4 linked regions of the Alligator mississippiensis genome follow. The protein of the gene in region 1 purifies or fractionates together with the protein of each later gene. This does not show direct contact. Links are inferred from orthologs where the notes say so. Each region holds a gene or a part of one and is shown in the gene's direction. Other genes may lie near its edges. The genes, in order: CAMKV, GPC1, ZC3H18 and NOLC1.

What was found.
Region 2: the proteins of CAMKV (region 1) and GPC1 purify together in Homo sapiens (affinity purification with mass spectrometry; 3 studies listed by BioGRID and IntAct, counting the BioPlex papers as one, with this or other methods). This does not show direct contact. The link is inferred for Alligator mississippiensis from reciprocal best matches to the Homo sapiens genes CAMKV and GPC1.
Region 3: the proteins of CAMKV (region 1) and ZC3H18 purify together in Homo sapiens (affinity purification with mass spectrometry; 3 studies listed by BioGRID and IntAct, counting the BioPlex papers as one, with this or other methods). This does not show direct contact. The link is inferred for Alligator mississippiensis from reciprocal best matches to the Homo sapiens genes CAMKV and ZC3H18.
Region 4: the proteins of CAMKV (region 1) and NOLC1 purify together in Homo sapiens (affinity purification with mass spectrometry; 3 studies listed by BioGRID and IntAct, counting the BioPlex papers as one, with this or other methods). This does not show direct contact. The link is inferred for Alligator mississippiensis from reciprocal best matches to the Homo sapiens genes CAMKV and NOLC1.

Annotation. Positions count from the first base shown.
Region 1 is NC_081835.1:42,071,821-42,079,605, reverse strand, and holds the start of CAMKV (caM kinase-like vesicle-associated protein), read left to right. Parts: upstream 1-4,508; 5' UTR 4,509-4,750; intron 4,751-7,785. UniProt on the Homo sapiens protein: Does not appear to have detectable kinase activity.
Region 2 is NC_081830.1:42,556,758-42,564,024, reverse strand, and holds the start of GPC1 (glypican-1), read left to right. Parts: upstream 1-3,990; 5' UTR 3,991-4,172; coding exon 4,173-4,329; intron 4,330-7,267. UniProt on the Homo sapiens protein: Cell surface proteoglycan that bears heparan sulfate. Binds, via the heparan sulfate side chains, alpha-4 (V) collagen and participates in Schwann cell myelination.
Region 3 is NC_081833.1:75,182,657-75,189,960, forward strand, and holds the start of ZC3H18 (zinc finger CCCH domain-containing protein 18), read left to right. Parts: upstream 1-4,192; 5' UTR 4,193-4,298; intron 4,299-7,304.
Region 4 is NC_081829.1:17,770,641-17,778,708, forward strand, and holds the start of NOLC1 (nucleolar and coiled-body phosphoprotein 1), read left to right. Parts: upstream 1-4,915; 5' UTR 4,916-4,949; coding exon 4,950-5,060; intron 5,061-5,156; coding exon 5,157-5,212; intron 5,213-8,068. UniProt on the Homo sapiens protein: Nucleolar protein that acts as a regulator of RNA polymerase I by connecting RNA polymerase I with enzymes responsible for ribosomal processing and modification.

The DNA of each region.
Region 1 (7,785 bases):
TTGAAATTTTCAAAGTTGGCAAGGGAAATTAGGTCTGCATATTCATTGCATGCAGCGCACACATGTGTGCACACACACACACACGTGCTCTCTCTCTCTAATGGGCTCAATTTTCCTCCCTTTGTAATTTAACAGTAATGTAAGTCAATTCAATTTACAGTTTACTTCTAATTTAAGCAAGGGGAGAAAGAGGTCCTTTGTGTTTCCTCTGTTCATATCTAGAAAGCAGTGGGTAGAAAAAAATTAAATATATTGTATTATTTAAGGACTATGACATGGTTGGGCATGTAAAGATGGTCACAACAAATATTTGACTGTCATCTTAGCTGTAGTTTTTCCCCAAGCAGTGAGTGATGTTCTGACATAATTACAGGGGGCGGTTGCATTTGATTTCTTCTTAATAGCGTCAGAAGAAGATGCTTGAGTTTCTGGCATGGCTAGCATTCAGAAAATTGCCAGGAGCCAGTCAATTGCATTATTATATGGAGTTATTTGGCTGCCTGCCATCAGATACTGCCAATCTTCATCAGAGGCTAGCAAAACCCAGATGACTTGACCAGAAGTCTTGGGAGTTGGGAGTTCAAGGGAAAACGTACCACCCCTACATGTTTTAGTAAGTAGATCTGCAAATGCATTCAGCCCTGATCTATCCCCATTGACTCCAGCCAAAGCAGAGTCAGATCAGCACTGCTGCAATCTATCTTGAATTTAGCAAAGCTTTTCATATGGTCTCCCACAGCATTCTTGCAAGCAAGTTAAGGAAGTATGAGTTGAACAAATGGACTGTAAGGTGGATAGAAAGCTGGCTGGATCATCAGGCTCAATGGATAGTGATCTACAGCTTGATGTCAAGTGGAGTGCCCCATGGGGTTGGTCCTGGGCTAGTTGTGTTCAATATCTTCACAAACAATCTGGAAGATGCAATAGAATGCACCCTCAGCAAGTTCATGGATGACACTAAGCTAAGGGGAGTAATAGATATGCTGGAGGGTAGGGCAAGGATTCAGAGTAACCTAGACACATTGGATGATTGGACCAAAAGGAATCTCATGAGGCTTAACAAGGACAAGTGAAGTCCTACATTTAGGACCAGTAAAGGTTTTGGACCAACTGGCTAATCACCAGCTCTGCAGAAAAGGACCTGGGAGTTACAGTGGACAATAAACTGAATATGAGCAAACAGTGTGCCTTGTTGCCAAGAAAATTAACAGCATACTGGGCTGCATTAGTACAAATGTTGTCAGCAGATGAAGAGAAGTAATTATTCCCTCCTATTATTCACTGGTGAGACCACACCTGGAGTACTGTGTCCAGTTTTGGGCCCCCCACTAAAGAAAGGACGTGGACAAATTGGAGAAAGCTCAGCAGAGGGCAAAGAAAATGGTTAGAGGGCTGGGGCACATAACTTATGAGGAGAGGCTCATTGAACTAGGGTTATTTAGTTTGCAAACAGAAGACTGAGGAGGGATTTGATAGCATCCTTTAAGTTGGAAGGTTGTTACGAAGAGGATAGAGCCACTGTTCTCAGTGGTGGAAGATGACAGAACAAGGAGCAATGACCTCAAGTTGCAGCAAAGGAAGTTTAGGTTGGATATTAGAAAAAACTCTCTCACTAAGGGGGTGGTGAAGCACTGGAACAGGTTACCTGAAGAGGTGGTGGAATCTCCATCCTTGGAGGTTTAAGGCCTGGCTGGACAAAGCCCTGCCTGGGATGTTCTAGTTGGGATGGTCTTGCTTTAAGCAGGGGATTGAACTAGATGACCATCTGAGGTCCCTTCCAACCCTAATTTTCTATGAGTCTATGAATCTGTAAGATCAGAGCATACAGCTTCATCCTTATTTCCTTTTGCTAATTGGGAAATGAGAGCATTGCTAATGGCTTAAACCTTCCCATCCCACATACATTGACCCCCCCGCCCCCCCCATAATCACTTATATACTCAGGGCTAGGACCTACTCCACCTCTTAAACATCTAACCATGATCTTATACCACCCTACTTGTGTACCTGGAAAAATGTTAACATACCTATTTTTGTAACATGCCATCACCTCAGCCTTAAGACGAAAGCACAGAAAGCAGCAAGCAGAAGGACGATTCACCACCTTTGGTGTTAATTGTTTTTTCAGGGACTCAAGCAGGGTGAAATACAATCACAGTTAGGCAGCCAATAGTTGGATTAGGATCTGGCCTTCACAGAATAACACAAAGTGACACTAGCTTGGAGGGCAATAGTGAGTTAGTAATGATTAATAAAAAAAAAAGACAATAGCCCAGAAGGTTATTACTAATAGCATACTATAGTTTTCTTTCCCACATGTTGGAACATTTTTTAGGGGTATAGGTTTTTTATACACTCCTTTCCCACCCCCTGCCCTGCACCCCTAAGTACTGAGACACAGAAAGAGGAAGTGTCTTCTTTCTCTGAAGCAGCTTTCCACGGGCCACAGCTAAGGCCAGGGGTTTTGACTGGGCTGTGCTGATCCTCCTGTTGGCATTTAGAAAAATTGAGAGGTCCTGACTAGGTAACCTGGCATTTCTACTCGTGGTCAGAACCACCACTAAATATGAGGTCAGGAAGAAAATTTTCACCAATTGGCAAGCACTGTGGGCAGGACACCAGGAATACCCTTGTCTCCCCAGCATTTACCTATGGTATGTTGTAGGTGTTTCTGGGTTTGTACCTTGTAGTTATGTGTGAGGGTTTGAAGAGGCACTTTAAAGGATTTATTTGGGAAATAGTTGCCTTCAAATGCAGAGAACTCAACTCAGTAGCCCAGGAGACCCATCTGAGTCTTATGTTCCTGCGGGGGGAGGGGAGTGGCAGAGCCAAGAATCTCCTGGATCCCTGACCACTGCCCCCACCCTTATCTCCATTCTGTCACTTTGTTTTGCTCACCCTTGTATTCATTCCTAGCCCCCTGCAGCTTTCTCTTCAAAAAATAGCATCAAGATGATCAATGAGCTCTGAGGCCCAGCAGACTCACTCTTCATGGTGGATGGGAAGAAGGAAAACTTGACATGACTGAAGGCAAAAGAAACTTCTTGCCTGTTCTCGCTTCTCACTTGTCCCTTTCCTACTGTTTGAATTGCACTCTTGGGCAGAGGGAGCAGTAATTTCCATCCCTCCCAATCTTCTGGTTTTCAGGCTTCTGCAAGTAGAAAGCTAGAGCCCAGAAGGATTTCCTCTGAAGGGAAGATGTCAAGCTAGCTACATCTCATTTTTAAAAATCTCCCAGTCTCTTCTGATGACAACTGCTGGTGGGGAAGAACATTTCCTCTGCAGGGCTGGGTTTGGTTTTGTAGGGTTTTTTTTGGGTTCTCTGGGTTTATGTTGTCTGAGAAGTTAGGACTGGTAATATAGGCTCTGCTAAATAAAACAGGCCCTTTCCCAAAAAGACTAGGTGTTTGAATATAGGAGCCAGAATAATGGGTCACAGTAGTTGGGTAGCTTCTCTGGGCAGACTGAGGGTGAGCAGACAGCCAGTTGTCACTGGATCCACATCTGTGGGTTGACAGGTAGTAAAAGCTTTGTCTTCGATGCCCCACAGAACCCTACCCCCTGGGTGCCATTGTGTGTGCCCACTAGCCCACACTATTTCATATCTCATGATAAAAATGTGAGCTGGTTTGCTGCCCAGAAACTGCCATATGGAGCTAGATCCCTCCTCCCCACCCCATAAGTAATATATTGCTTTAAAGAGACCTTGCTGTGGGTATTTAATGTGCTGCAGAGAAGAAAGTCTGTTATTCAGGGAAGCTTATTCCTTTGATAGGCATCCGTTTTGGTGAACTCCAGCAGGTCAGGAGTAGTTTTTTCTCACTTAAGGTACCAGGGACAAGGCAGCTGTGATCCAGATTGGAATTTCTGCCCTGCTAAAGTACATCTAGAAAAGAGTCTTAATACAATTCATTGCAGACCTTAGTATCAGGATAGGAAGGTCCGAGGCACGACTGAGCAGTCAGAGTTTGGAACTGCCAAATTGTAATCCCAGCTCTGACCCAGAGGCCTTCACCGCCTCTTCCCTCCTGGACCAGCCCCGCCTAGCCCCGAGGGACCTCGTGGGAGATCACTCGGACCCCTGAGGTACAAGAAACGGCAGCTACCAGGGGCCAGGGTACCCCTGCCCTCCACGGACCTCCCCCGTGCCTAGTGCCAGGACTGTAGCTCGTGGCACACGTGACACCGGCGGGCTGCCACACGAGTCACGACGAGGAGTGTCACTTGTGCGGGTCCCACGGCTCGCTTCGCCCCAGGCACCTCCACACAGCACACGGCCGTCCCCGGAGGGCGGCAGCTGCCCCGCGGGGAGGGCGCTGGGCATGTCAAGCCGACTTGGGCCCTTCCTCCTGCCGGAGGCGGCCCGGCTCAGCTCACCTCAGCACAGCACCCCCAGGGGCCGCGCGGGGCCGGGGCTGAGCCCGGGGGCGGGGGGCGGGGCCCAAAGTTTGCAGGGACGTCAGCGGCGGTCCCGCCCAGGGGCGGTGCTCACGGCTCGGTCCCGGGAACTTTCCCCGCCGGAGCCGGAGCGCGAGTGCGAGAGCGGTGCTGGAGGCGCGAGGCAGCGCGCGCGCTCTCGGCTCCGCCTGCCCCCGCTAGCCGCTGCCCAGCCCGGCCAGGCCCGGCCCAGCGGGTGGGCGCAGGAGCCCGTCGCCCCGGAAAGAAGGGGACGGGCCGCAGGCGCCAGCAGCAGCAGAAGGGGGAGCCCTCCCGTCCGCGCACCCCTCCCGCGGCCGGAGCTCGCTCGCAGGTGAGCCGGGGCGGCGGGGCGCGTCCGCTCGCTGCAGTGGAGCGGGGCCGGGCTCGGCGGGCATCCGCGCGGGCTCCTCCGCCCTGCTGCGGCTCTGGCTCCGGCTCCGGCTCCGGCTCCCCGGGCGCGCGGCGCCGCCGCCCGCTCTGCCCCGCACGCGGAGTCCGGCAGGTGCTGCCGCCGCCGCTGCCTCGTGGGGGAAGCGGCTCCGGGCGGCGCGGTCGTGGGAGCGTGCGCGATGCGGGTCCCGCGCCGGGAAAGTTGCGCGGCAGGAGGCGCGGGCACCTCGCCAGGCCCCGCCGCCGTCACCCCCCGCCGCGCCGCGCCGCGCCGCGCCGCCCCCGGGCCACCGGGGCTGGCAGCGGCTCGAGGCGAGCGGCCCGCAGCGCCCGGGCGGCCCGGGCCGGTGCAGCAGGTGCCCGGCGGCAGGGCGGGCGGCGGCACGTGGGGCAGCGCCAGGAGGGGGCAGCCCCCCCCCGCGGGACTGCGGGCCCCCTGCGCGGCGCCCCCCCGCGAGCCGCGGCGCCGATTGCCATGACAACGGGGCTGTCGCAAAGGCCGGGCCGGGCCGGGCCGTGGGGGCGCGCTGCCCGCGGGGGGGGGCAAGGCCCTGCGGCCTCGGGCGCTGGGGGGCGGGGGCTGGGCTGGGCAGCGCGTGTGGAGCCGCTGCCTCCCCCGGCACGTGCCTGGCTGCGGCGCACGTGGGCGTGTTTGGCCGGACCTCCCCTCCCCTCCCCTCCCCTCCCCTCCCGCCCATAAGCCGCTGCTCCCTCCACCCCCGCGCGCGGCCCCTTCCCGGGGGCAGCTCGACCCCTAAGCGCCGGCCCGGCCCAGACCTCGCGGCGGGGCGGGGAGCTTGGCTTCCCCCCTCCCCGGCGGGAGCCCTCGATGCCCCAGCCGCTCCCTCCTGGCGGGAAGCCGGCTCCCGGCCCGCCGCCCGCGCGCGTCCTCCCCGCAGCTCCCCTGTGCCTTCCCGCCCGCGCTCCCTGTGCCCATCTCCCGCCGTCCTGGGCTCGGTCCTGTCCTTTAGAAGGCTGCCCTGACTCGAAGCCAAGTTGTCCCAGAAAAGACCCCGTCCCCCTCTGCTTTTTTGAGCCCCAGCGTTAGCACAGGGGATCCGGTATTGGGGCAGAGCCCGCTTCTCTTCATGCTGGTCCTCTTGCTGCCTGGCAGAGGGAGGGCGGTTGAGCAGAGCGCTGAGGTCTGCGATGGGGTGTCGGGAGTCTTCCCCTGAGACGGGAGCTGCAGCAGGGAAAGAAACGGGTTGTGAGGAAAACCTCTTGGATGAATTCTGGCCCCTGGTGCTGCAGCTGGGCCCAGGGCCATGGCCTGTACCCCCCTCTTGTGCCGCGTGCCTTGGACTGAGGAGACAGCCTAGGCAGGCTGGGCCCTGGCGGGTCTGTACTGGGTCACTTCAGAGCTGCTGGTGCCTACTGCTAAACCCACGGCCATGGTAGCATGTGTCTGGACTTCGCTTTCTGCCTTCTGGGAGGGAAGGTAGCGGTTGGGAGAGGGGCATGTCAATTCGCTTGTCTCCCTCAAGCATTGTGATCATTCAGAAGCATGAGCGGACCGTGAGGAGGGATCAGTGTTAGGGCTGAGGTTGTCCTTGTGAGAAACCCCCCTTCCCAGGAGCTCCTGGAGCACACCTGTGGGTGATGCCTTGCTCTCTTGAGTTGCAGGGTGTGTGGATCACAGATATTGGAGGCTTCAAAAGCCTCTCTGACCATCTCCCTGGAGCCAGGGCAGACCTCTTGCTTGTCACTGGCCTTGTCCCAGCTCAGGACAGCTGCAAGGCTGCAGACTGTAGGACCCAGGTAGCCTGGGTTTGAAGTGTAAGAGCAGGAGGCAGACTCCCCCACCTTGCCTCAGGAGCAGAAATGCTGTCAGATGAGATCAGCTGGTTGAGCCATGTAGTCTGTATACTGCAGCCAATGGCTGATCCTGCAGAAGAAAGCATCTCTTGCTTCCTTATAAACAACTTATGATGCATGTAGCTGTCTGTGCAGTGTTGTCTATTATATGTATGGACCAATGGCAGGATCAATTGATGCCTTGAAGCACAAGATCTTTCTTATAATAGGAAATGCTAGGCGTGATCCTAAAATGTATTCAGCCCTTTCATTCCATCTAATGCGTCTGACTCATGGATATGCTGTGGCAACAAGTTCCACAAGCTACTTATAATCTACATAGACTCTCTCTGATCTCTTGCCACAGAAGTGCTCTGTAATGACAGCAAGTGGCACCCCCTTCTGTTCTCTTGCTGTGGAGTACTTCTGTTCTACCATAGGGTAGCATGGAACAGATTTGCTTTCTCTTGGCTCTTTGGGCTTACAGTCAAGCACCTGCAAATGCAGTGATACCAGTGACTTACCCCCTGTGCTGTGCTCCTTTCCTGTGGCCAGGCAGCTGGACATCCTGACACATTGCTATTAGCCTCTCCTTTGAGCAGTGAATATATACAGGATGGTAAGCTCCTGCTGGTTTTGAAGTGAGAACAATGTCCTGATTGATAGAACAGTATTTTTCTCCCCTATCAATTCTTTTAATACAGCCCAGCATCCAATTTTCCCCCTTTCTACTGCTGTGATTGATGTTGAGACTATTAGAGCCTATATAGAATTTTTCTCTATGATCTGCAGACATCTCTCTTGGTCTGTTCTCTTTCGATTTTGCAAGTCAAGCAGGGCTGGTCCTGGTTGATACTGGCATGGGAGATCTGTGACAAAGGCAGGTGTTGAAAAGAGTGGCAAAGACGGTTGTTCCACACTTGAGCTCTCCCCCCCTGTTCTGTCAGTGCCCTTCAAGTCCTAGATGCCCCCCCACCTCCCCACACATGCTTCTTGTGATGCCCCTCAGCACTGATGCAGAGCATGCTATTCCAGTCGGTTGCAACTTGTACCACCCTGAACAATGCCTCCTTGGCTGTTTATACCTTCTAGATTTCATAGGCTGTCACCACATTTCCCCATTAGCAGTCTGCCTGAGCTATAAATATTTAAGTCCAGCTTGGGCCCCAGTTCCATTCTCAT
Region 2 (7,267 bases), on another chromosome or scaffold:
TTGCCTCAGCACATGTACCGACATGCACTTGGGTGTGGTGAAAGTTGTGCCACGTGGGGCAATATAACCCTGCCTGGTTCCTCCCAGATCTGTGGCCAGGGGAAGCTAGAGCCTGGGGCCAACACTTGTGCTGGCCCCAGCAGTGTAAAAAGCTGCCCTGTCCTGGCCCCAGCAGTACAAAAAGCTGCCCTGGCAAGTAGCTCAGGAGTATGCTCTCTCAGGAACTTCTGGGGCCTGACCAATTTGTAGCTGGGGACACTACCCCTTGTGCCAGCTGGATTGCTAAAGCAGCCCTGAGAGTTCCCTGTGCCCTCTACCCACTGCAGCAGTCTGGCAGTGGGGGCTGCTGCCTGGCTGTGACCTGCTGCGCAACTGCCAGACCTGGATGGGGACTGCACAGCCAGTAGAGGCATCTGCCCCTCTGGGCCAGCTGCCAGTAGGCTGTGGCTGCAGAGTTGGCCTTTGTGTAGCATTACTGCCATGTGTGCCCCTGCCTGGCCATCTGGGCAGCTATCACACAGATGTTCCCAGTGTGGTGGCCTTTGAACTGTCAAAGCATGTCCTCCTGGCCCCAAATGGCCAGGAGGTGCACCACTTCCAGCTGGGTCTAAGGTGCCAGCTCAGAGCAGGCTCCTCTGCCTGGGTCCTGCCACTTGCCTCCCCAGCAGAAATTCTAGTGTTCCCTATTTGAAAACTGAAGAACCCCTGCTTAAAAAATCCCTAAGTCACTCTGTACAATACCCTGAAATCCATGTTCTTCCACAATTAAAACAAAAGACCACTATATAGAGAGAGAGCAGGAGGCAGAGAGACAAAGAAACAGTGATCAGTTGGGCAATGTTTTATTGATATATCTACAACGTCAAAGCAATTTGGAAGCCTACCAGTATCTCTATCATCATAATAAAATGAATTCTAAATACCTATGTTTTGCTGTTTGCCTTTGATTTTCTTACCATCAGTTTAAGAGAATCAGATAATGTTTTCAGAGGATCTGGGTGCCAGGAATATGTAACTTCTTTTTTCTTTTTCTTTTTCCTTTTCAGCTCTTTTTTGTTCTTATCTTGTGCCAGCTTATTTGGCCCTTCTGTATCACACCTGCCTCTGCTCAATGCTTGAATCAGCTTTTCAGGAGGCAGCACTTGCTGTCTGTAGCTGACAAGAGGTGATCTCCGTGGCAGAATGGATTTTCTGTCTTTTTCTTCTTGTTGGCTCTTTTCTGTGTTCTTTTTTTCCCCCGTCTTTCTTATGTATACTCACCTTACATTTCACTCTAGTCTTTCTTTTCTCTCCTGGCTCTTTCTCTGTGAGGTCCCCCTCCCTTTTCCCGCCATCCTTTCCCTGTAAAGAAATAGCTCTTTCAGTGACTGCGGATTTCTGGAATGTGTGGAGGAAGAGCTTTCCCCCTTTTTCATACTGACTCTGCTCCACCCTTTTAATTCAAAATGCTGAATGAATGAGTGTTCAGAAAGTGGATCTGAGCCTCAGAACTACAATGGGGAGAATCCAGATTGCCAGTATACTTTATAGCATAAAGTACATTTTTATCATGATGTGTTTCTTTATTTCAATTTGGGGAAGTATGCTTATACCAAGTTCTGATGCATATATACGCTTTATCAGTACAAACAGTACAGTCACGTTATTATTTATTTAAGATTTGTTTTCTGTGTTGTACAGCATGCAGACACAGATAGCTGCTTCCACAAAACTTATAATCAACTTGTAGTACTTCTGAATTTTCTGTCTGCTTATGTGGCCTTTGACATAGTTTCTGAGCACCTTACAGCCATGAATGAACATGTTCTCATAGCAGTAGGGCAAGATGAGAGTGCTGTTGCCCATTTAACAAAGAAGTAAATGAGGGACAGAGCATAAGGGACTTGGCAAACGTTACACAGGAAGCCTTTGGCAGAGCTGATAATAAACCAGTTCTTCCTCATACTGGTCTGGTATCATATGGTATCTGGTATCATATCTAGCCATCAAAGCATGAAGACTGGCTTGTGATATTCTGATCTTTCATGCAGGAAATTGCAGAGGTGAATCTGAATAAGTAGAGCACATACTTTTTAGGATTCTGTTAAGTGATACGATTTTGGCCCCTACTATAGACAGTGTTGTCATAGCACAATAGTTTTTAGAAATAAGAAGTACTTGAATATGACATACTTCCTCCCGTGCAGACCTGTGATCCATCACTCAACTACAAGCCTAGAGAATATGGATTTTAATCTAGCCTTTTAACTAATGCCGGTTAATCCTGCTGTGCACTTCACAACATTTACTATTAAGCAAGACTTCATGCTTCTACCTTATGCTTTAACCATCATTCAGAGAAAGCTTTGACCGTTCAGGCAGAGGTGGGAATAGACCTCAGGTAAGTACTACAATGCAGCCCAGTCCTAGCCATGTGCCACAGTTTTTAAAAGCATACCAAATTTGATCCTTCTGTAGTCCACAGTATTGTTTTGTACCATCCTGCAGTAAGTAGCTAGCCCACATATGGAGGCTTACATTTTTGGTTCTATTTCTGTATTCAGTGACTTGATTCTTTAGCTCAAGTGGCAGAGATTAATGCTTTTGCATCCAAAAGTCTGGAGTTCAGTCCCTTAACTAACCCAAATGGGAATGTTCATACTTTAGTTATCTCTTACCACTAAATCCTGGCTGCAATTCCTGCAAGGGCCAACACGTCTCTCAAATGCTTATAATCTGCTGTTTTGTTTCTTTGTGGTTTGGTGTGGTCACCAGAAAGAATATGGGCAGCTTTCTGGGGTTTTGTACCCCGTTAGTCTAACAGCTGCAGATTGTGCTGTAGATCTGAAGCCATCAGATTCAAAAGATAAAAGGAAAAAATATTTATATGAAATCTTGTGTAAGGACCCTTAACCAATTGTACTTAATTTATGTTCAGCAACATCATATTTGGATGTGAATCTATGTGCTAACATGTGTTGTTCCCACCTTTTTAGTGGGAACCGGAGCTTTTAAGAACAGGGTGCGGCAGCGTGTGCACCGCTGTCTGGAAGATGTCCTGTGTCTGCAGAGGACAAGCCCTGCTTCTGTATGAACTCCAGAAAGGTCAGAAATTACATTTAATCCTCAAAGATGGAACATGCAAGCCTTGGCTCCCAGCATCCTGCTGGATTTCCAGGTTTTAGTGAAGTTAGACAAAGAGCAGAAATATGTTGGACCAGGTCCTTTATGTTGGATGTTGACACCTTAAATGTGTTTTCCAGTCAAATTGGAGAAGACAGTTACACTCCTCAAGGCCCTGCCTAGAGCACAGGCAGATTTAGCATTTAACCCCTGACTACCATGCCCTCCCTACAGAATTGGCAAGCCTCTCCTGCCGCCTTTCTCCATCTGTCCGGTGAGGAGTCTGCTCTGAAGCCTGCGGGGCCAGATCTCCCCCGCTTTTGCATCCTCCTTCTCGCTGCGGGGCTCCAAGAGCTGCCAGGTCGGGGTGTCAATCCGGGCAGCTGGAGTAAGAAGTGGCTCCTCGTGCCCACGCGCCTGCCAGGGCCGCCTGCCGCCCGCACGAGCCTTGCCGGAAGGCAGCTGTCCTGGGAGCCTGCACCCTGGCTCCCTCGGCCTGCGCCAGGAGCTGCACCTCACCGGGCGGGGTCGGGTCGGGCTGAGGAAAGCGCCCGGCCGCCGGCGCGCCCGGAACAATAGCGGGGCCGGGGCTCCGGCCGCCGGGGGCTGAAGCCCGGCAGCAGCCGAGCGGGCGGGCGGGCGGGGGAGGAGCCGGGCCGGGGCCGGATTGGCAGCAGGCGGCGTGATGCCACGTCCGGCGGGGGAAGCCCTGCCTCGCGGCGAGCCGTGCAGGTGGCGCCGGGTGAGCCCCGCCGGCACACAGCGGCGGCCCCGCGGGATGCGCGCCCCGCCCCCGCGCTAGCGCCCGCCCCGCCCCGCCCCGCCCCGCGGCATCGGCTCCGGCCGCGCTGCCCCCGCCCCGCCCCGCCCCGCCCCGCCAGCCGGGCCCCGGGGCGGCGGGAGCAGGGATGCGCGGGGGAGGTGGAGCTGAGCGCCGCGTCGTGTGAGCGCGCCCAGCCCAGCCCAGCCCAGCCCAGCCCCAGCCGGGGGCAGCGGCGGCGGCAGCGGCGGCGGGACCTTGGGCTCGTCCTTCGCGCGGCGGGGCCGGGAGCGGGGCGCAGCGGCCGAGGATGCATCTCTTCCCGTGGGGATTGTGGCTGCTGTGCGTCGCGTCCTCCTCGGCTCGGGGCGACAGCGGCGGCAAAGCCAAGAGCTGCGCCGAGCTCCGGCAGCTCTATGGGAGCAAAGGGTTCAGCCTGAGCGGGGTCCCCCAGGCGGAGATCTCCGGTGAGTAGCGCCGAGCCGCGGCTTTGTCCTGGCTGGAGGAGACCCCCCCCCCCCAAACCCACAGGGTCTCGAGCAACCCCTCCCTCCCTCCCTCCCTCCCCTGACTCGGAGGCAGCGGTCCGCAGCCCCTGGGCCGGGGACCCGTCTGGGTGAGAGCCGCCTTATCCGCATCCACCGCTGCCCTGAAGTTGGGATCTGCTGGACGGGAACTTGGGCTGGTTTTCAGGTGCGGAGGAGAGAGGAAGGATGGAGGGTTAGGGACCACTCCTCCCCTCCCCCCCTCCTTAATTAAAAGTCCTACCTTCCATCTCTCCCCCGAGCTGGACCCCCAAAGTCACCTCGGCCATTGTCATGGTCCCGGGTAGCGGGTGTTTCTCTGGTGCCAACCGGGGTGTGTGACGGTTCACAGATATCAGGTGGCTGACTAGTGGGGGGGGGGATATAGCAGACCCTCTTTGTCTTGCTCCTCCAGTGGCAGCGATGTGGGGGATTCAGCTCAGACGGTCAGGATCAAGCAGGTTTCATGTCAACGCTAGAAAACGCCACAGGGTTATAAAGAGAACAGTACTGATTTTTCCTGTCCTCTTTTTGGATTGGAAACAAATGCATGAGCAGCACTTGTCAGCTGTGTAAAATGAAGCCGAAGTGAAATGACTCTTTGTCAGGTGTTCGAAAGGCAGCGGTAACCTCAGCCACCCACATCAGCATGTATTCCTGTTACCTGACTACTATCTATACAGAGGGCCAACACGATTTGATTTGATTTTTTTTTTTTTAAACAAATGCACAGTGTTTTTTGTTTCCCTTTCAGAAGGGATCTGAAATAGAAAAAGAGAGACTATAGAAAGGTCTCATGTAGGGTTTTACAAAGCCTGGGAAAAATCTGCTGAGATTTCACGCATGCCTCTTCTTTATTTCTTAAAAGTTTTTTTTTCTACGTTCTGATTCATCAGCTTGTGACCCATATCTAGGAGCTTTTTTGCTCACTTGTGGGAGCTTCCCAGTTTAGACAAAGCGTAAGGCATGCAGGCGTACGTGCCAAAGCCAACCTACGGGGACATCCCAGCAAAATTGTAGTTTGTAGTTCATTTCTGAGTGGTGGAATTTCTTATGCTGAATACTTTATAGCGTAGTTTTACAGCAAATGTCTTCATTATCTGCCCTGAAAATGGAGGAGGTTGATCTTCAGCTCAAGTAAATGGCATATAAATGTGAACAAATGATTATTTTCTTTATTAAGTAGGAACCAAAGGGAGATTTTCAAGTACAATAGGAAGGTCCTGTGGAGAATTTAAAAATCCTTTAAATGGGAGCTCCTTAAAAATGAATTCAGTTAAGCAAAAACATCACTTCTTTGTTCTTGATTATTCCGTGTATCTGTAAGCAATGGCTTAAACATGTCAAACAACTGTGAAGTTTTTTCAAGGGAGTTGAACACTTAAATATTGTCATGTGGAGGTGGATAAGGTGCCAAATGGAATGATAGTACCGTAGGATTCAATATCAGTTGTATTTTGTGATTGTGAGAAATGCATTGCATCAGATACAAATATCACATATCTCTGGGTCCAAGACATATAAAACTTATTGTGTCTAGAAAATGCTGAGTTTAGTAAAGATATAATGGAGGAGAGAGATGTTTAGGAGCTACATTTATTATCTCTTAAACGCTAGCACGCTTGCAGGCTCAAACAACAGTAGCTGAAATAATGTAGTGTCAAACTGCTTGTCTGTGACTATATGTTATGATTAATAGTGATGGTGATAAATATGGTCTTCTAATCAGATATATATTCTTATGAGAATTTATTTAATGAACTGTAGATAGGACCAGGGAAAAGAATCTATCCACACAAATATGCTGCTGCCAATACTCCCAGCTTTTGTACTGAAACATCAAAACGATGAACACAGTCATACATGCCTGAAACTGATAAGTATTTCGAAATTTCCATCTGTGTAGCTTTAATATCCATCCAGTTGAGATAAAACATCAATGTATTTTGCTACAAATATGCTTATGTATGGGAAATGTTATTTGACACATGGTAATATACTGTATTTGCTTCTGATTTGTTGACTATCACTGTGTATAAGATGTTTGGTCTATATTTAATAAAAATATGGTAGTAGTTGAGAAGAAACCACTTCATAGCATCCCCAAATGTACTGAGTATAATACCATTCTACACTTGTGAACAGCTCAGTTTGTTAAGCAACCCAATTTTGTTGGCACTTTGAATGGTCACTTAACACCACTTGTTCTGTATTTAGTTCATCTTGGTGACCAAGAGGGCCATAATCCATATGGCAGAACCTGCGTCAGATTAAGATTCCAGTCACGTCTAGAAATGTCTACACATCAACAAACAGCAGGAGCAGCATTAGTTAAGTAAAAAGAAAAATGCTGATTAAGATAGTTCAGTAACAAGCAGCCTAGTTCTACTTTGACCTGTGAGGTGATTTGAGGAAGCCGTTTCCTAGTGCTACCCATGCACATTGTTAGAAGGAGTGGAGAGCACCGGTTTTCCAGCCTTCCTTGTTCACTTTGTTTTCCCACTTCAGTTATCCTTTATTTCTTCCTTCCTATCCCACTTTCTCTCCCATTTTCCTCCCTCAGCAAAGTGAGAACTCACTTTATTAGCATCGTTCCCTGCCTCCAAGAATTTGATTACCAGCAGAGTACATTGCTGCTGCTGCTCTTAGGACCGACTCCAAGTTCTGCTAGGAGGGAAAAGCAATCGGTCTACTCTAGGGCTGTTGTTGAAAGGGCCACTCGCACCTACACTTTTTCATTTCACAAGAAGTTTTAGGTGTTCTAGTAATGCATGCTCCGACTCAGTGAATTAACTGCATTTATTTTGATTTTAGCACATTTCTATCACCCTTCACATATTTTAATCTGCATTCTTTATTGTGATTTAAGAGGATTATTTGA
Region 3 (7,304 bases), on another chromosome or scaffold:
CTGCAAGGAAAGGACCATGTCAGCGACCAGCCTGCCCGTGTTTGCGCTCCCGCAGGGAGCTGCCTCCTCTCTCTCTCCCAAGCTGCTCTGTTGCCCTGTGCTGGGGGTATCCCGGGGATGCATCCCAGGAGGAACCCCAGACAGGGTAGAGTTGGGGCTGGCTGGCTCAGGACTTGGGCAAATCTTGTCTGGGGCTTGAGGTGGGGCTTAGCAAACCTCCCCGTCGGCTGGGAGCCCCGGTGCTTGCTGGCGAGGCCTTGGCAGTGAGTTCGAGGGGCAGTAGCCGGTCATCAGAGCTGCCGGTGCTGAGCTGCCGCAGGGGGCTGGCGGGCGGGGGCTCTCGGCTTCCTCTGTCTCTATTCATCCCAGGCTTATTGCCATGGTGACAGCCCACCCCCCTCCATCCTGCCTGCCTCTCTTCCTCTCTGACACTTGCGGGGTCCGTCTGCTCCCCTCCCCTGCCATTCCCGCCACTGGCCTGGCCTGATCCTGCACAGTGCTGAGCACAGTGAGACCCCAGCATCAGACCTCATAGTGAAGGCATCTGCACAGGGGGCGGTGCCTGGGGGTGGGTGTGGGGTGATGCCTCCTGGACATGGAGTCACCCATGTCGTGGGCATCTACACGTGTGTGCGCCCTGGGTGGGGGGCCCTGTGCTGGCATGGAGCTGCATGCTGGAAATGCTTGTCATTGCACCCAGGCCAGCCCCTCTTGCTGATGTAGGATTACCCCCCTCCCAAGGCCACGGATGTAGCCAGCAGCAGGGTTGGGATGTAGCCAGCAGCTGAGGAGTTTGGAGGTGTCTGGTGATCCGAGTCCCTGGTGAGGGGAGAGCTCGTAGTCCATGTGCTGTGAGAGGCAAGAGCAATGCCATCTGCCTCACAGCAGGAACGTAGCGCTCTCTCCTCCCTTGGCTACCAGATGCCAGAGACCCCCCCAAGCCCACACTTCGGGGCTTGCGTGTGCCCCGCTCCTTAGGTGGAGGTTGAGGTGCTGCCTGGACCCAGGGGCACCCAGGCTGGCCGCGTCACCCCGCGCTAGCTCCCAGTGGGATGCAGGCATGGGGCACAGGGCTCGTCAGACAGATGCAGCTGGAAATCTTGCTGCCAAACCACATAGGTGGCCTCCGGGACGACCCAACTAGGACAAGCAAAAAGATGCACCCCCTTCAAAACCTCCTGCTCCAGCCTGTCTGGAACAAAGACTCTTGCTATTGCCTTGCCTTCCTTCCCGCCAACAGGGAAAGCTCTGATGGAGCCCAATGCAGCACTGCGGGGGGGTGGGTTTCCCTGGCCAGAGCTCGGGGTTTTATTCTGATCTGAAGTGACAGCCACTGTCAGCATCTCACAGCCGGTGTCACCCTCTCCCCAGCTGCACCACGGAGCAGGTCTGTGCATCCCCACAGCCCTGGATGCGTCGCGCAGGCTCTGGCAGCCGACGTCCAGCTGATCTCCCACGAAGGGGAATGGACACAGATTCCCAGAACAGTTCGACGGGCGCAGCTGGAGTCCGGGGAAGGGGGTCTCAGCACATGTCAGACAGCGCACCGGGAATGGAGCGGAGCATGGCCTGACAGCTGGCAGCATCAGGTGCTTTGTCTATCTGCAGCTGCCTGGTTCCTTTGGTCCCTTGCACTGGATCTTAGAAACTCAGGGGAATATCCCCAGCCCTCCCCTCATTCGTCCCCTCCAGCTCCTTGCTCTCTCCTTGCTGCCCCTCTTTGCAAAGTCAGCCCCGCTCCCACCAGCGGCTGAAACACCCACCAAAGAAACTTCCCTGCAGAACTTACTGGGGAAGGCGCCGGACCCCAGAGCAGCCAGGGGACAGAAGCAGGTGGACACGGTGGAGCAGCTGGCATTCCCGAGCTGGTTTCACGCCATCCCTTCCCCACCAGGCAGCAGCCGGGCTCCCTGCCTCTCCCCGTCTGCTCTGCCTGGCTGCTGCGGCTGGCTGCAGATATAAGGGGACTCCTCATCAGCTGATACAGCTCCTCGCTCCTCGCTAACCTATGGGAGCAGAGACTTTGTGCCCACCACCGTGGGGGCTCCTGGGTGTCTCGAGCCCTGCACCCCTCTGTTCATCTCCAGCCATATAATATTAGACTCCTTTGCTTCTAGCTCCAGCCCCACACCTCAGCCCTGGGGCATCCCTGCCTGGCTTGTGGGCCCGCAGCTCAGCGGAGATCCCTGGCTTTGCTGTCCATGCCTTGCAGTCCTGAAAGGAGCAGCCCTGCCTCAAAGGCAGAACTGCCCCATGGGGCACTGGCTTTCTCAAGGCATCACAGCAAACCCCGCTGGAGCCGGGGACTAGTGGGGTCCCTGCCTCCGCAGGAAGACAGGGGTCTCCCCGCTCTCCTCTCCGGCTGCCTGCGAGGCCTTGCGGGCGCATTCATGGGTTTGTGGCTGGCTGCGGAGGAGAAGCCAAAGCAGGTTCTTCAGGCCCAGGTGGGTGGTAATTACAGGGAGCTGACCCAGGCGGCTGCTTCCAGGCCTGTGTTGCTCCCAGGTGGGGGAAGTGTCCTGGGCAAGAGTTTCCCTGCTGCATCTGCAGCTTGCCCAGCTGGGAGCCAATGCAGGTGGAGAGAGGGGAGGGCACAGTCTCCACAGCAGGGACCTGGTGGTGCCCTCCCTGCCAAACCACATCCATTGCCTCCCCACCTGGTCTCCTAAGGGATAGCGGTGGCATGGGCACAAGCCTCCCAGAGCTGCCCTGGCAGGGCTGTGCATGCTGCTGCTGAGGGTCTCCAGCCCCCGTGCTAGTTGGGGTAGCACAGCTCATTGAGCTGCTCCTGGCCTTTGCTAGGGGCTGCCACAGGACAGGGGCAGTCTGGGGCTCACAGTGCTGTGACAACCTTCCCGCTGCAGGTGCAAGAGCATTTGCAGACGTCGTAACCTGGGCTCAGGCATGGCCCAGCAGTGGGGAGCGGATCCCAGCTCTGGCACTGCTGTGCTGAGCCACACCGAGCCCATCATCAATGCACAATCTGCCTCTATCTTCTGTGAGGGTTTGGGGGTGTGGGCGCTGCTAATTAGCGTGTATTTGCATAATGCTAGGGACTGGGAACTGCTTGCTTATTAAGATTAGTGATGTGTTTTTCCCAAGGATGAAGCCAGCCAAACCAAAGCGCAGGGCAGGACAAGACAGCGGCATCTGGCAGCTCAGCCCGTGAACCCAGGTGAATGCTGGCCCCCGGGAACCGCAGGGGAGACCCATGAGCTGCCCCCATGACCGTCCCTGCTTAGGACCGCGCTGGATGGAGCCCCACAGTTGTGGAGATGGGGTGGATCCGCCAGCTGGGGAAGAGGGGAAAGTCCCAGAGGATGGTGCAGCCCCTTGGGTCGTGGCCAGGTGATTCCTGCAAGCCACGAGCAAAGCCCATCCCTGGCATACAGCCTGCACCCGGCCAGGGCAGGAGCGGGTCACCTAGGGCTAATGCCCGCGTGGTTGCAAGGAGCTGAGCCCACTGCAGACATAGGGCATGCCACCGAGCTCAGGCCTGAGATCCACATGACAGACACCCCTGCGCTGCTCTGGGAGGACTGTGATAGAGACGTGGCTAGCTAAGGGACTGACCTCGGGGTCCCTACCCCCCCAGCTGTAGGATTTCCGGTCATTCTGGGGGTGCTTTATAGTCTGGAGGGGGCTGATCCTGCCTCAGGCAGGGGGCTGGACTGGATGCGACCTTGGGGGTCCCCCCTGCTGTCGGATTTGTCACTCTGGGGGTGTCTGGGGTGCTGCGGAGGGGACTGATCCTGCCCCCTGGATATGGATATGACCCCCAGCCCCCCTGCTGTAATAGACAGTCTGGAGGGGGCTGATCCTGCCTCAAGCAGGGGGTTGTCGGGGGAGGGGTCCCCCCTAACCCCACTGCTGTCGGATTTCTGTCACTCTGGGGGTGCCTGGAGGGGGCTGATCCTGCCCCCTGCATATGGATGCGACCTCAAGAGCACCCCCCTTGTAAGATTTGTGCGGCTCATGGAGGGGGGGTGATCACCTGAGAGCCCCAGCACTGAGCCGTGTGGCCCATGGGACACCAGCCCACGTGCCCCGGGGGCGCGGCCCCTTTAAGGCCCGGCCGGGTAGGGGCGGGGGCTGCTCCTCCCTCCTCCCTCCTCCCCCTACCTCTCCCCCTCCCTCTCCCTCTCCCGCCTGCGCGGGCGCGTCGCGTTGCGTCGCGCGCTGATGATGTCACGCCATGGCCGCCCTGCGCCGCCGCCGCCGCGCGTAGAGGCCCCGTCGCGCGCCCAGAGCCGGAGCCGCCGCCCCCGGCCCCCCCGCCGCCCCCTCCCCCCGCACAGGTGAGGAGCGGCCCGGGACGGGGGAGGGGGCGGCAAGCGCGGAGGGGCCCGGGCCCAGCGCGAGGGGCGGGGCCTGGGGACGGGGCTGGGCCCTCATGGGGGGGCGGGCACCCCAGAATGGGGGATGGGGACCAGAGTGGGGGGAGGGGCTGCGGGGTTGGCATCCGTGCAGAGCGGGGGCTGGCGGCCTGGTCCCATTGGGGGGGTGCACCCGTGTGGGGGATGGGCTTGGGTGCACCGGAGTGGGGGAGGGGTGGGGCCCAGTGATGGGTGCACCACAGTGGGGGGGATGGTCCCATGGGGGGGGTACAGCAGAGTGGGGGGGTCCCATTGAGTATACTTTGGGATGGTCCCATGGGGGGTGCACTAGAGGGGGGGGTCCCATTGAGTATACTGGGGGGATGGTCCCATGGGGGGTGCACTAGAGGGGGGGGTCCCATTGAGTACACTGAGGGGATGGTCCCATGGGGGGGTGCACTGGGGGGATGGTCCCATGGGGGGTGCACTAGAGGGGGGGTCCCATTGAGTACACTGGGGGGATGGTCCCATGGGGGGGTACACCCATGTGGGGGGTGGGCTTGGGTGCCTCAGAGTGGGGGAGGGGCTGGGCCCAATGGCGGCAGGGGCCTGCTGGGCATAGCAGCGTGGGGGAGGGGCTGGGGGCCGGTGGCCAGACACCAGGAGAAGGGGGTGAGGGGCTGGCTCCCACAGAGGTTGTGGGGCGGGGGGTGGGCGCAGGGGAGCCGCGTCCAGACGTGCTCGTGAGTTTTGTGGAGGAGCGTGGGAAGAAGGTCCCCATGTCCAGCTCCCAGGGGTGCCGCCATCACCCGGAGCGGCGCGTCCCAGCCCCACGTCGCCCTGTGCCAGCCGGGCCGTCTCCTGCTCCCCGAGGCTCCCTGCAGGAGCTGCCATCGCAGCCTCTGCCCCGAGCAGGATCCGCGCGCTTTGCCCTTAGTGCTGTGCTGCCGAATTACCCGCCATCATTGTTCCAGGGAGGATTTTCCTGCCGTGGTTCCAGTGCGTTAGGATCAGTAACCCCCCAAATATTCCCCATGAATCAACAGCAGAGCCGAAGAGAGCTGAACTCTCGCTCCCGAGCACCTCCAGGTTTGTTTGGACCCGGGACAGAGATCAAAATCTTTTCCTGATCTAAACAAATCCTTGGCTGACTTGAATGCTTAACTCTGCTGCCTAATTATTCATGCATGTGTGCTGAATGCCTTAAAAATGTGTTTATTCCCAGTAGCAGACTGGTATCCCATAGGGAACAGCTAGTGGAAGAGATTGACTTGCCCCAGCAGCGGTAAGTTGTGACGTTTGAACTCCAGCACTGGAGCTGTTCAGTCTCTAATCCACCAGAGAAGGCAGGGAACTGTGTCCCCTCGTTGGGCTGGAGTTAGGGTTTCGGAAAGTGCGACTTGGGGGATGTGGGAAGCTGGCTTTGGAAGTGGCTATCACAAGGGAGTGCTGTAGGACTAGTGCTGAAGAGAGCTTCGTGCAGCCTTTGAGAGGCTTTCTTGATGCCTCCCCACTAGTTTGACAAATCCAAGTCGCCCCTCACCCGCACACACGTACATCTTCTAAACCGTACTTTCTCTAAGGGAGCAGGGCAGGTATGTATTTGATTTTATTGACTTTGTCAGCTACCTGACAGGTTTTCAGGGATGTGTTTGGTAGCTGTGTTGGTCTGAGACAAAAAGAAATGCAAAAATCTAGAACTCTTGGTTCAGAGAGATGATGCCTTTTATCAGACCAACTAAGAAATCGCAAAAAAAAAAAATTGGTCTTGTTCTGCAAGCTTTTGGGCTCACATGCCGTTCATCAGGGAAAATTAAAGATGGTAAAATGTCCCCTAGGTAGGAAATAAAACTTCATTTTTGCACAGTGGGAAGCTGGAGATGGAGGTCTGTCCTTCTGGGTCCATGAGTGTTGCAGGTTTTCAGGCCTTTAACTATACCCCTCAGCTTTTGTTCTGCCTACCTTCTTGGCTTTCATCTGAATCTTTTCTTCCTCTTCTTAGATCCCACTGTCTCTTTTTTTTCTGAGCCATATTTAGCGTCTCTTTTTCTGTTCTGTTCCTTTATATTTTTTCTTTCCCTAGCTCCTCACCTCTGTTTGTCTCCTGTCTTCCTGTCCATCTCCCCAAGTCACTCATCATCCTGCTCTTTGTCTAACCTATCCCATTAGTGTTTCTCTTTTGATGTTTTTCCCTACATCTGCCCACTGGCCCTCACCCACCCATATACATAGGTTGGCCAAAAGGAATTGCCAGGTACTAGATATCCCATGGACTACCAGAAACAGACTCACATAAAAGATAATGACAGGGCAAAGATCAGATTAGAGAAGTCAGCTTTTCTCTGCTGTTTGCAAAGGAAAAGGTGCTGCAGTTCACTGTACAGCTGCAACTGGATGCTGCTCAGGAGCTCTGCTGTGGACTGTTTTTGTGTTGGCCTCTGGCTACTACGTGTCTGATGTATGTGAAACCCTTTCATCACCTCCAGCTCTCTTTGACAGCTGAAAGGGAGAGGGAATGCTTTCAGGAAGAAAGCCTCCTGCTGGCTGCTGAGCCAGTCTGTAAGAGTCTCTCGCGATGTCGTATCTGCTCTGACTAGAGGTCTTTTCCAATCTGTTCCTCACTCTGTTCCTGAAGTCCTGTTATGAGGTTTTCTTCGCAGGGCTGCTACTGTTGCTCTCACCTTTCTGCAACTATCCATCTTGCCGATGACTCATGGAACTTCAAAGTATTTTCTGTTCCAGCTCTGGCCAACTTTTCACTTTCTGCTCTTTAGGAAAGCACTGAGCAGTCACTGAAGTACTAGAGCCACCTGAAGGAGACTCTTACTTCATTGGTTTTTGCTCTGATCAGGGTTTTGAGATTCTCTTTGCTAGTATACTGGCTGAACCATTTTTTTTTTTTTAATGACAGGAGGTTCTGCAGCAATTGTTGGAACTTGATAGAGCTTTTCCAGTAGTCCTGTCTTTCTCAAACCCTTGCTTAAGTAG
Region 4 (8,068 bases), on another chromosome or scaffold:
CCTGCCCCAGCTCTAGGCATTTGGGGAAAAAAAAGCCCTGGCTCAGCAGGTGCTGCCAGGTGGGAGGCAATCCCCGCTGCCCCATGCTGCATGGGGGGCTCTGCATGAGCCCCCACAACCCCTCCATCACTCTCCCAGCCCCCTCATGGGTGCCCCGCATGGGCCAGCTCCAGCCCTTTAAGAAAAAAAAGCCTGAAGAAACCTGGGATTCGCTGCTGCTGTGGACAGGGGGCAATCCCTGATGCTCTGAGCCAGGTGAGGGCGCTGCAGGAGCCCCCAAAGCCCTGAGGCTGCACCAGGAGCCTGAGCCCAGGGGCTTTTCTCCACTTTTTTTTTCTTAAAGGGCCAGAGTCCTGGCAGGCAGGGCAGCTGGGGGAGTGGGCGGGGGCTGGGGGGCTGACTTAGATCCCCCCCATGGTCCCTTCCCCCCTCCCCCTCCTCTAGTACTTACCAGCTCAGAGTGGCTCACCTGGGAATGCATGAATCATCGAAGCTCTCCAAATCTTTGCTGAAGATTTGAAGAGCTTTGAAATGATTCGGACCTTTAAATTGGTCCCCTGATTCAATTTGGATTCGGAGATTCAGCCACCAAATTGGACTGAATCTTCTCCGAATCGAATCACCATCCGAAGCTTCACACAGCCCTAAAAATTATAGTGATGGGCTGGGATGTGACTATCAGGGGATAAGGAGTTCCCAGAGCTCCAGAGAGGCACGTCAGTGACCTGTGCCAGGGGCAGGGTCCAAGCCACAGTAGTGCCCATGGGGCATATGAGTGTTTGAGCCCTTGCTAGAGGCTGAGTTCAAACCCCAGGCAGGCAGCAGCTAAGAGGTCTAAAGCCTGGTGAAAGAGGTGGCCTGAAGCTGGAAGGGCTAAAGGGTAGAGCCCAAGAGGGTGAAACCAAGTCCAGGGGCCCACAGCCTGAGATGGGGGAGCTAGAGACAGACTGAAGCTGGGAAGGCCAAGGCCAGAGACGCAAGACGGGTGAGACTAGGGCCAGGGGCCCCAAGCCCAAGAGGTCAAAACATAGTCCGAGAGGGTGAGTCAAGAGCTGGAGCCCAGAAGCCAGGTCCAGCACGATGGGCCTAGGCAGAGGAGCTAATGAAAGGAAAGGGGTAGCAGCCAGGAGGGTTGAAGCCCCAGCAAGAGTGGAGAGGTCTGAAAAAGACCAGACCTGACACTGATTGACTGATAACCTCCACGAGGCATGGGCATGGCTACAGAGGAGGACAAAGACCACAAAATTAGCCCTTAAGGCAACAGGTGCCCTGGAGGGAGCATGGGTGGATCAGAAGGGCCCACCTAGTGCCTGAGGGGCAGATTTGGGGACCAGGGGGGTCCAGGAGGGACCAACTGGCCAAGAAGGATGGATGAGGGTTCACTTGGAGACCCCAGGGTTCACTTGGAGACCCCAGGGAAGCCTCCATTTCACAAACCAACTCATTACATCAAGGTGTGGCAGGTGAGGGAAAAGGAAAGGGGCCCAGGGAGCCAGAGTGGGTGCAGGAGCTGCGCTGCCATCAGGGGATATCACAGCCACCCCTGGGGGCTCTATCCTGCTACAAGCACACAGAAGAATCAGCTAGTACAATCCCTATCTCCTCGAGAGAAGCTTTTATAAGCCAACAGTATCAACACAAGATCTTTCACAAGCACTCAGACGTTGTGGACTCTAACAATGAGTCCTTGTCCATTGACTGACAAAAGGGTGTTCAGGAAGGATGGCTTTAATGGGATCAGATCTAGTTTTGAGATATGTGGCTGCTTCTGGATGTAGAAGCTTTTGGAGATGGCAAAGTGAGGAAGACAGCCACACAGTGAGCTCAGCATATTTTGGATTTTCCCTGCTACTGGAGTGCAGGGTACACTGCTGCTGGGAGAGAAATCAGTATAACCATACCAAGCCCCCACTGCAGGATGTCTTATGTCTACCAAAGCAATCTCCTCCCCACATCAGCCCATTTAGAGTTATTTCTGCAGAACCCAATTCTTTGTGTTACAGTAATACATGCTGGACTGTGTTTCTTGTCAATAAGCGTATAAATACCAAATCCCTGTAGAATTTTATTTTTCCTGAAGATCCGTACACCATAGATATGTTTAAAATTTAAATTTAAAATTACAAAAGCAAGTGCTTCTTTGTTCAGTGCCAGGCTTGCTTTCTCTCTTTCTCTCTCTCTTTTAAATTTAAATCAAATCTTACATTTGCAAAAGAAGTAGAGGAGTTGGTGATACAGATTCAACAGTGTTGAGAGCTCCTCAAGAGAGAGCAGCACTCCTAAAATCTCAGATAATAGCACTGTAATAATGTCAAAGTCTAATAATGGCCTTATGGCCTGAAGTGCATCCCATTTCCTACCCATAATGTCCAACAACACAAGACTCTGAACCAAGATTGCAAGAGGACAGCCTGCCTCAATCCTATTGGAAACAGTGAGAGATCCTCTCATTAAACATAAGCTACTCATCTTCACTTATGAATCCCTTTGCAAACTATCCCTACCCTACCTATCCTCTCTCATTCTGCATCAAGAGGTCTATTTCCTCTGATCAACTCATGATGTTAGCTGCCATCAACCACTTGTTAGATTTTCAACCCAAGCCTTTCATCCTGCTCTCCATGCCTGGGACAGGCTCCCCATAATCATCTGCAGAATGACCATATTATTCAGTCTCAAGACCCTCATCAGGATTCTCCTTTGCCCTGATTTCAAGGAAACTGTACGGATAATGAGTAGGCTGCCAAAACTGTTGCCTCCCATGGTGCCTGGTATTCTCATTTTATTCCCTTGCGTTCCTCCATCTGTCTGTCTTCATCTGTCACTGCCTTATGCTTCACTCACAAGCTCTCTGTGTACAGGTGGTCTTCCTGCTCTGGAGGTACAGCACCGAGCACCCCTGGATGCTGACTGGTGACTGGGGCTGCTGGGTGCTACAGTAACAGGCCTCATTTCAGTGCCTGCAGAGGCCCCCAGCCAGGCCCCACCAAGCTCCCCTGCAAAGCCTCCTCTCAGCTCAACAAGGTCCTTTTCCCCAGCTGAGGACTCCCGGGTGGCCCACCACAGCCCCGGGGCAGCCGCAGGAGCTTAAGGGGGGCATGTATGGACAGGGCTCTGGCCTGGATCTTTGCCACTTGTTGGCTTTGCCTCATGCTCCCGCCTTTGCCTTTGGGGAGGTGCCTGCATCCGAGTCTGATGGCAGCACCTAGAGCAGGGGTGCAAGCTGCGCAGGATGCAGCTCCACTGGAAAGGCCATGGGCGCCTTGCTTCTTGCCTCCAGCCATTCTTTGATGGCAGGGCCCCACTGGACCCCAGGCAGGGCAGGACAAGCCCTGTGGGGTCCCCATGCATTTCTCTTGTGAGTCCCTCGCGGATCTATCATGGTGTGACCCCTGAGGGGCTCTTCAGGGGTGGAGGAAGACTCACTGCTTTAGAAGCCCACCCCGGCAAGGCCAGGCCAGGCCCAAGGGTCTGGCAGCCCCAAGAAGGGCACCAGGGCTGGCACATCGGGTTTAAGGGTTTGAAGGAATGAAATGATCAAATTTGAAATTATCACATTTGCTGAAAAACGATTGTACACTGAAAACGTATGCAAATAAGTATGCAAATAATTATTTTTATTGACTTTATATTGCTTCTCACTTTAAGTCGCCAGTGAGTGAGTGAGAACAAGTTGACGCGTTTGTTTATTTCGAGGACAGCTGTCACAAGACAGTGCTGACAGCAACCTCGGCAGTCGGTTACGACTCTGCCCCGCCTGAGGCTGACCTGATGCAGGCAGGCAGAAACATGCGACCGTCTCTTCTGGGACTGCCCACACGCCAGGGAGGTGGGAAGAAAGTCTGTGCGCTCGTCCTGGTGGTGGGAGGTTTCAGAGACCTGACCAGGGAAGAGGTTCTTACGGGCACTTGACCATGGGCGACTTGTGCCCCGCTTGTGACCAGTCCCGCTGACTGGGGGGTACCCCCGCAGCCGGGGAAGATCCCCACAGCCGATCCCGGAATGGCCGATCGCTGCGACCTATAGCCGCAGCCGCTTCCGGGAGTGACTGCAGCGATCAGCCGGCGCTTGCAGGGGGGCACCGGCACTCCCACCTGCCCATCGCCTAAGCGGCAAGTGCTGCCGGTCGGGGGGTGCACCGGCGCTCTCAGGGGGTGCATGTGCTCCCCCGTGCACCGCCTATGCCACTGCACCTGCCCAGACAGCACGGGGCCCCGACCAGTTCTTTGCCTGCTTCAGGTGGGCACTGTGCAAAACCAGCTACCTGCTCACAGACTGACACTTGGACCCCACAGTTGAGGACTGTATTAAAAAAGGACAAAGTGAAATGTACTGGTACTACAGAAAGACACAAGAGGATGACAGGAAAGAAATGGCAGACCTCATCTGGTGGAGAGGGGCCTGGCATAGACATTTTCAGAATTAGCGCCTCTGGGTGGGGCAGTGGGCGCGGGGACGGGTATAGGGACGGGTGCGCGGTCACGCGGTGCGAACCGTGTAATGGGTTTTCAGTGTGCTGCGCTGCCAGTGAACTTGGCAGACTGTTGGAGGTGGAGTTATTTATTTATTTATTTATTTATATAGAAGTATTTTTGCAAAAAAAAAAAAAGTGGGTTAAAACTCTCCGAGTGACTTGGGTTCTGCACATCCTGCATCAATTCGCTGCCTCAAAAAATGACCCTACATGTTGAACACCGTGGCTATCATTGACCGTACATTGTGCCGGGGTTGTGCAAACACCATAACCATAGCGCCCCCGGACGGCTGGGCTGCCCGGCGCACGCGCAGTGCGGCCGCCCGACGCCAGGTGGCGCCAGCAGCTGCCGAGCAGCGCTGCCCGACCTCAAGATGGCGGCCGCGCTCCGCCCGCCCCTGCCGGCGGCCTGGCCCCCGACCCCTGACCTCCGACCCCTACCGCGGAGGCGGGCGGTACACGTGGTGGCGGCAGCATGGCGGGTCGGCGCGTGGTGCCCAGCGACCTGCTGCCCCTCGTGTTGGGCTTTCTGCGGCAGCACCGCTTCGACCGCGCCGCGCGCGCCTTCGCCCGGGAGGCCGGAGTGGTGCGGGCCGGGCTGGGCCGGGTCGGGGGGCGGTCGGGCCGGAGGGTCTGGGGGTCTGGGCCGGGCCCGCGCTGACGCCCGTGTGTGCTCTTGCAGGCGGACCAGGACCCCAACGCCGCCTCGCTGCTCGACGTCTTCGACCACTGGCTCAAGTGAGTGCCGGCGGGGCCAGGTGCGGCCGGGCTGGGGGCCGGGCCGCCGCCCTCCTTCCCCTCCCCACCCCCGGGTCGGTCCGTGGGGGGAGGGTCCCGCTCGCGGGCTTGGATGGGGGAGACGCCTTGCTCCAGCTGGGAAGTGAGTGCTTCCTCCAGCCAGCCATGCCTGGACAGCCAACACCAAGGGCCAGCGAGTGGTGCATGAGTTTGTGACTGGGAGTGCATGGACCAGACGAGTTCAGCTCAGATGCAGCTGCCGCTCCTGAGCGTAAAACACAAATGCTGTCGTGGGTTGGCGTAAGCCTTTCTGAAACACTAGGTTTCACCATAACCCTCTGTTTAAGTCAGGGGTGGCCAGCCTGCAGCATGTGTGCCACACGTGGCACAAGCAGTCTGCGCATGGCACGCGGCAGATCAAGGAGGGGGCTGCAGCCCCCGGCAGGGAGGGCAGAAAGCAGAGCAGCAGGTCATGCCGCCGGAGGGGGGTTGGAGTGGCACTCAGGGAGGGTACGGGGCTTAATTTGTGACGCATCTGCCAGAACGGTTGGCCCCGCTGATTTATGAATCCAGAACAGACAGTTAAGCGTGTTTCAGCCCCATGAAAAAGACAATGCAATAGAAAGGGGGTTGGGCTCAGGGCATCTGTATGTTCTTCAGAGGGTTACGTGTTTTGAGCTTGGGAATCCTCACTGCTTTCATGGAGAAACTCCTACTCTAGAGTCAAACTCTTTCTAGCGTTTCTGGTCAGAAAGTACCATACTTACTCAAATCTGAGATGAGGTCATTTTCCCCATTCAACAGAGGTGGGGGGTAAATTTGAGAACAAGATGGAGCAGTAGGTAGCTGCTGTGGCTCTAGCCCTGACCCAGAGTCAGAGCTTCCGTCTCTGCCCCATGCCAGTCTACCCCTTTGCGTCCCTCTTCCCCCTCTGGCTGCTGTTACTTACCTGGGGTCCTGGCTTTGGCCTAGAGCACAGAGCACATGCTATCTCCAGGCTCTACCTGGGATGGCAGCTGCTGCAAGTGTTGGCAGCTCTAGTGCTGACTCAGGGCTGGGGCAGGTCCATAGCTGCTGCTTCTGAGCCAAGCAGGGGCCAGAACTGGCATGTTCCCTGGGTCAGAGCAGGACTGGACTTGGACCCAGACCTGGAGCCACAACCTGGGGTAAGTGGTGGTGGCAGGGGGGAAGGCGAAGGCAAATGGTAGGAAGAGGCTGGGACTAGAGAGGGAGCTAAGTGCCAAGGGGGGCAGGCACCAGGGAGGCAGTAAGTGCTAGGGGGGCAGGTGCCAGGTGATGCAGGCACAGGGAGCATGAGGTGGGAGACAAGCTGCGTATCTCCTTGTCACTACTTGCCCCCCTGCTGCTGTTTTCCCTGTCACAGCAATGGTAGGGACACACTTAAGACAACCCACCCAAGAATTAGATTCTGCGCATGGAAAATTGTAAAAAGTTAATATATAGAATCTAATTATTAGGTATTTGTCTTACATTCTAAGTTGTCTTGTATTGAGATAAAAATGGCAGAGAGTCGAGCTGCACTCAGATCTCCAGTACCACAAGTGTCAGAGCAGGAGCAGAGAATACCCTGACACAGCCACTCCTTTATCTTGTGAGGAGTTTGGATCAGTTTTTTTTAAGTTCCCCCAGTTTCTGCTTCTGCTCTACCTAGCTCCCCAGTCATGCTGCTTCTGGGGTTGTTTTGCTTACTTTTCTTGGGTTTTTTTGTTTCTTTTTAAGCACAGGTGTGTGTTTGTAGATCCTAGGACAGTGGCTCCCAACCTCAGGTCATGACCCAAATCAGGGTCGCAGGAGGTCTGCCCTTCATTCCACCTCTTCTGCCTGCGGGGCTGTCCCGGTGCACAGTCCATGCGGCTCTCGCTGCCGCTGCCCCCCACAATCCTAGCCCAGCCCAGGCTTTACTGGCACCACCGGGCATGAGTGAGTTGGGGGCAGGGTTCACGATCTGGATTTGGGGTTGCTGCAAAAAAAGGTTGGGAGCCACTGCCCTAGGAGTCCCTTGAACAGGGTTGTTCTGTGTTGATTTTGTTCGGGTGGCAGTCTGACCCCTGATCTGAAGGACAGTGTTTTGCATTAGAGGTGCACCGATACATTGGTCCGATATCGGATCAGCACTGATGTAAAGAAAAGGCCCCTGTGGTGAGGGAGGGAGTAAGGAAGGAGCTAGGGTAGGTGCTGCCTGGCGGGGGGCGGGACAGAACCACAACTCGTCCAGGCATAGTGGGGCAGGGGCGTGGCTCCTGGTGATGCATGCACCCTGGGGGGGAGGGGTGGCATGTGCCCCTGGATCTGCGTGGGGTGCAGGTTAGGCTGCATCTGCAGGCTGCGGCTGGGGTTGTGCCAGGCTCTTCCTGGCAGAAGGGGGGGTGGCGGTGCTGGGAGGATGGGCTATGGGGGGGCTATGGTGAAATTTGGGCGGGGGCTGCAGCCCTCTCCCCATAGTCCCCCTCTCAGCACTGCCACCCACCCTGAGTGCGGCCCCAGCCTGCAGCTGCAGCCTGCCCCACACAGGTCTGGGGGGCACACGTGCACACACCCCACCCCAGGATGCGCGCAGCAGCAGGAGCTGCTCCATGCCCCACCCCCCTGGACAAACCATGGCTCCATCCTGCGCCTTGCCCCGGCTTGGCAACGCCTGCCCCAGCACTGCTTCTTCAGTGCAGGGGACTTGATCTCCCCCCACACTCCTTCCCTTCCCCCTCCCCTTCCACCACAACAGACTTACCACCTACATGCAGCTGTTTAAGAAATTGGGTTAGTATCGGCCAATATGCCTCTTTAAAAATCAGCTATTGGTATCAGCCCCCAAAATCTCTTATTGGTGCACCCCTAGTT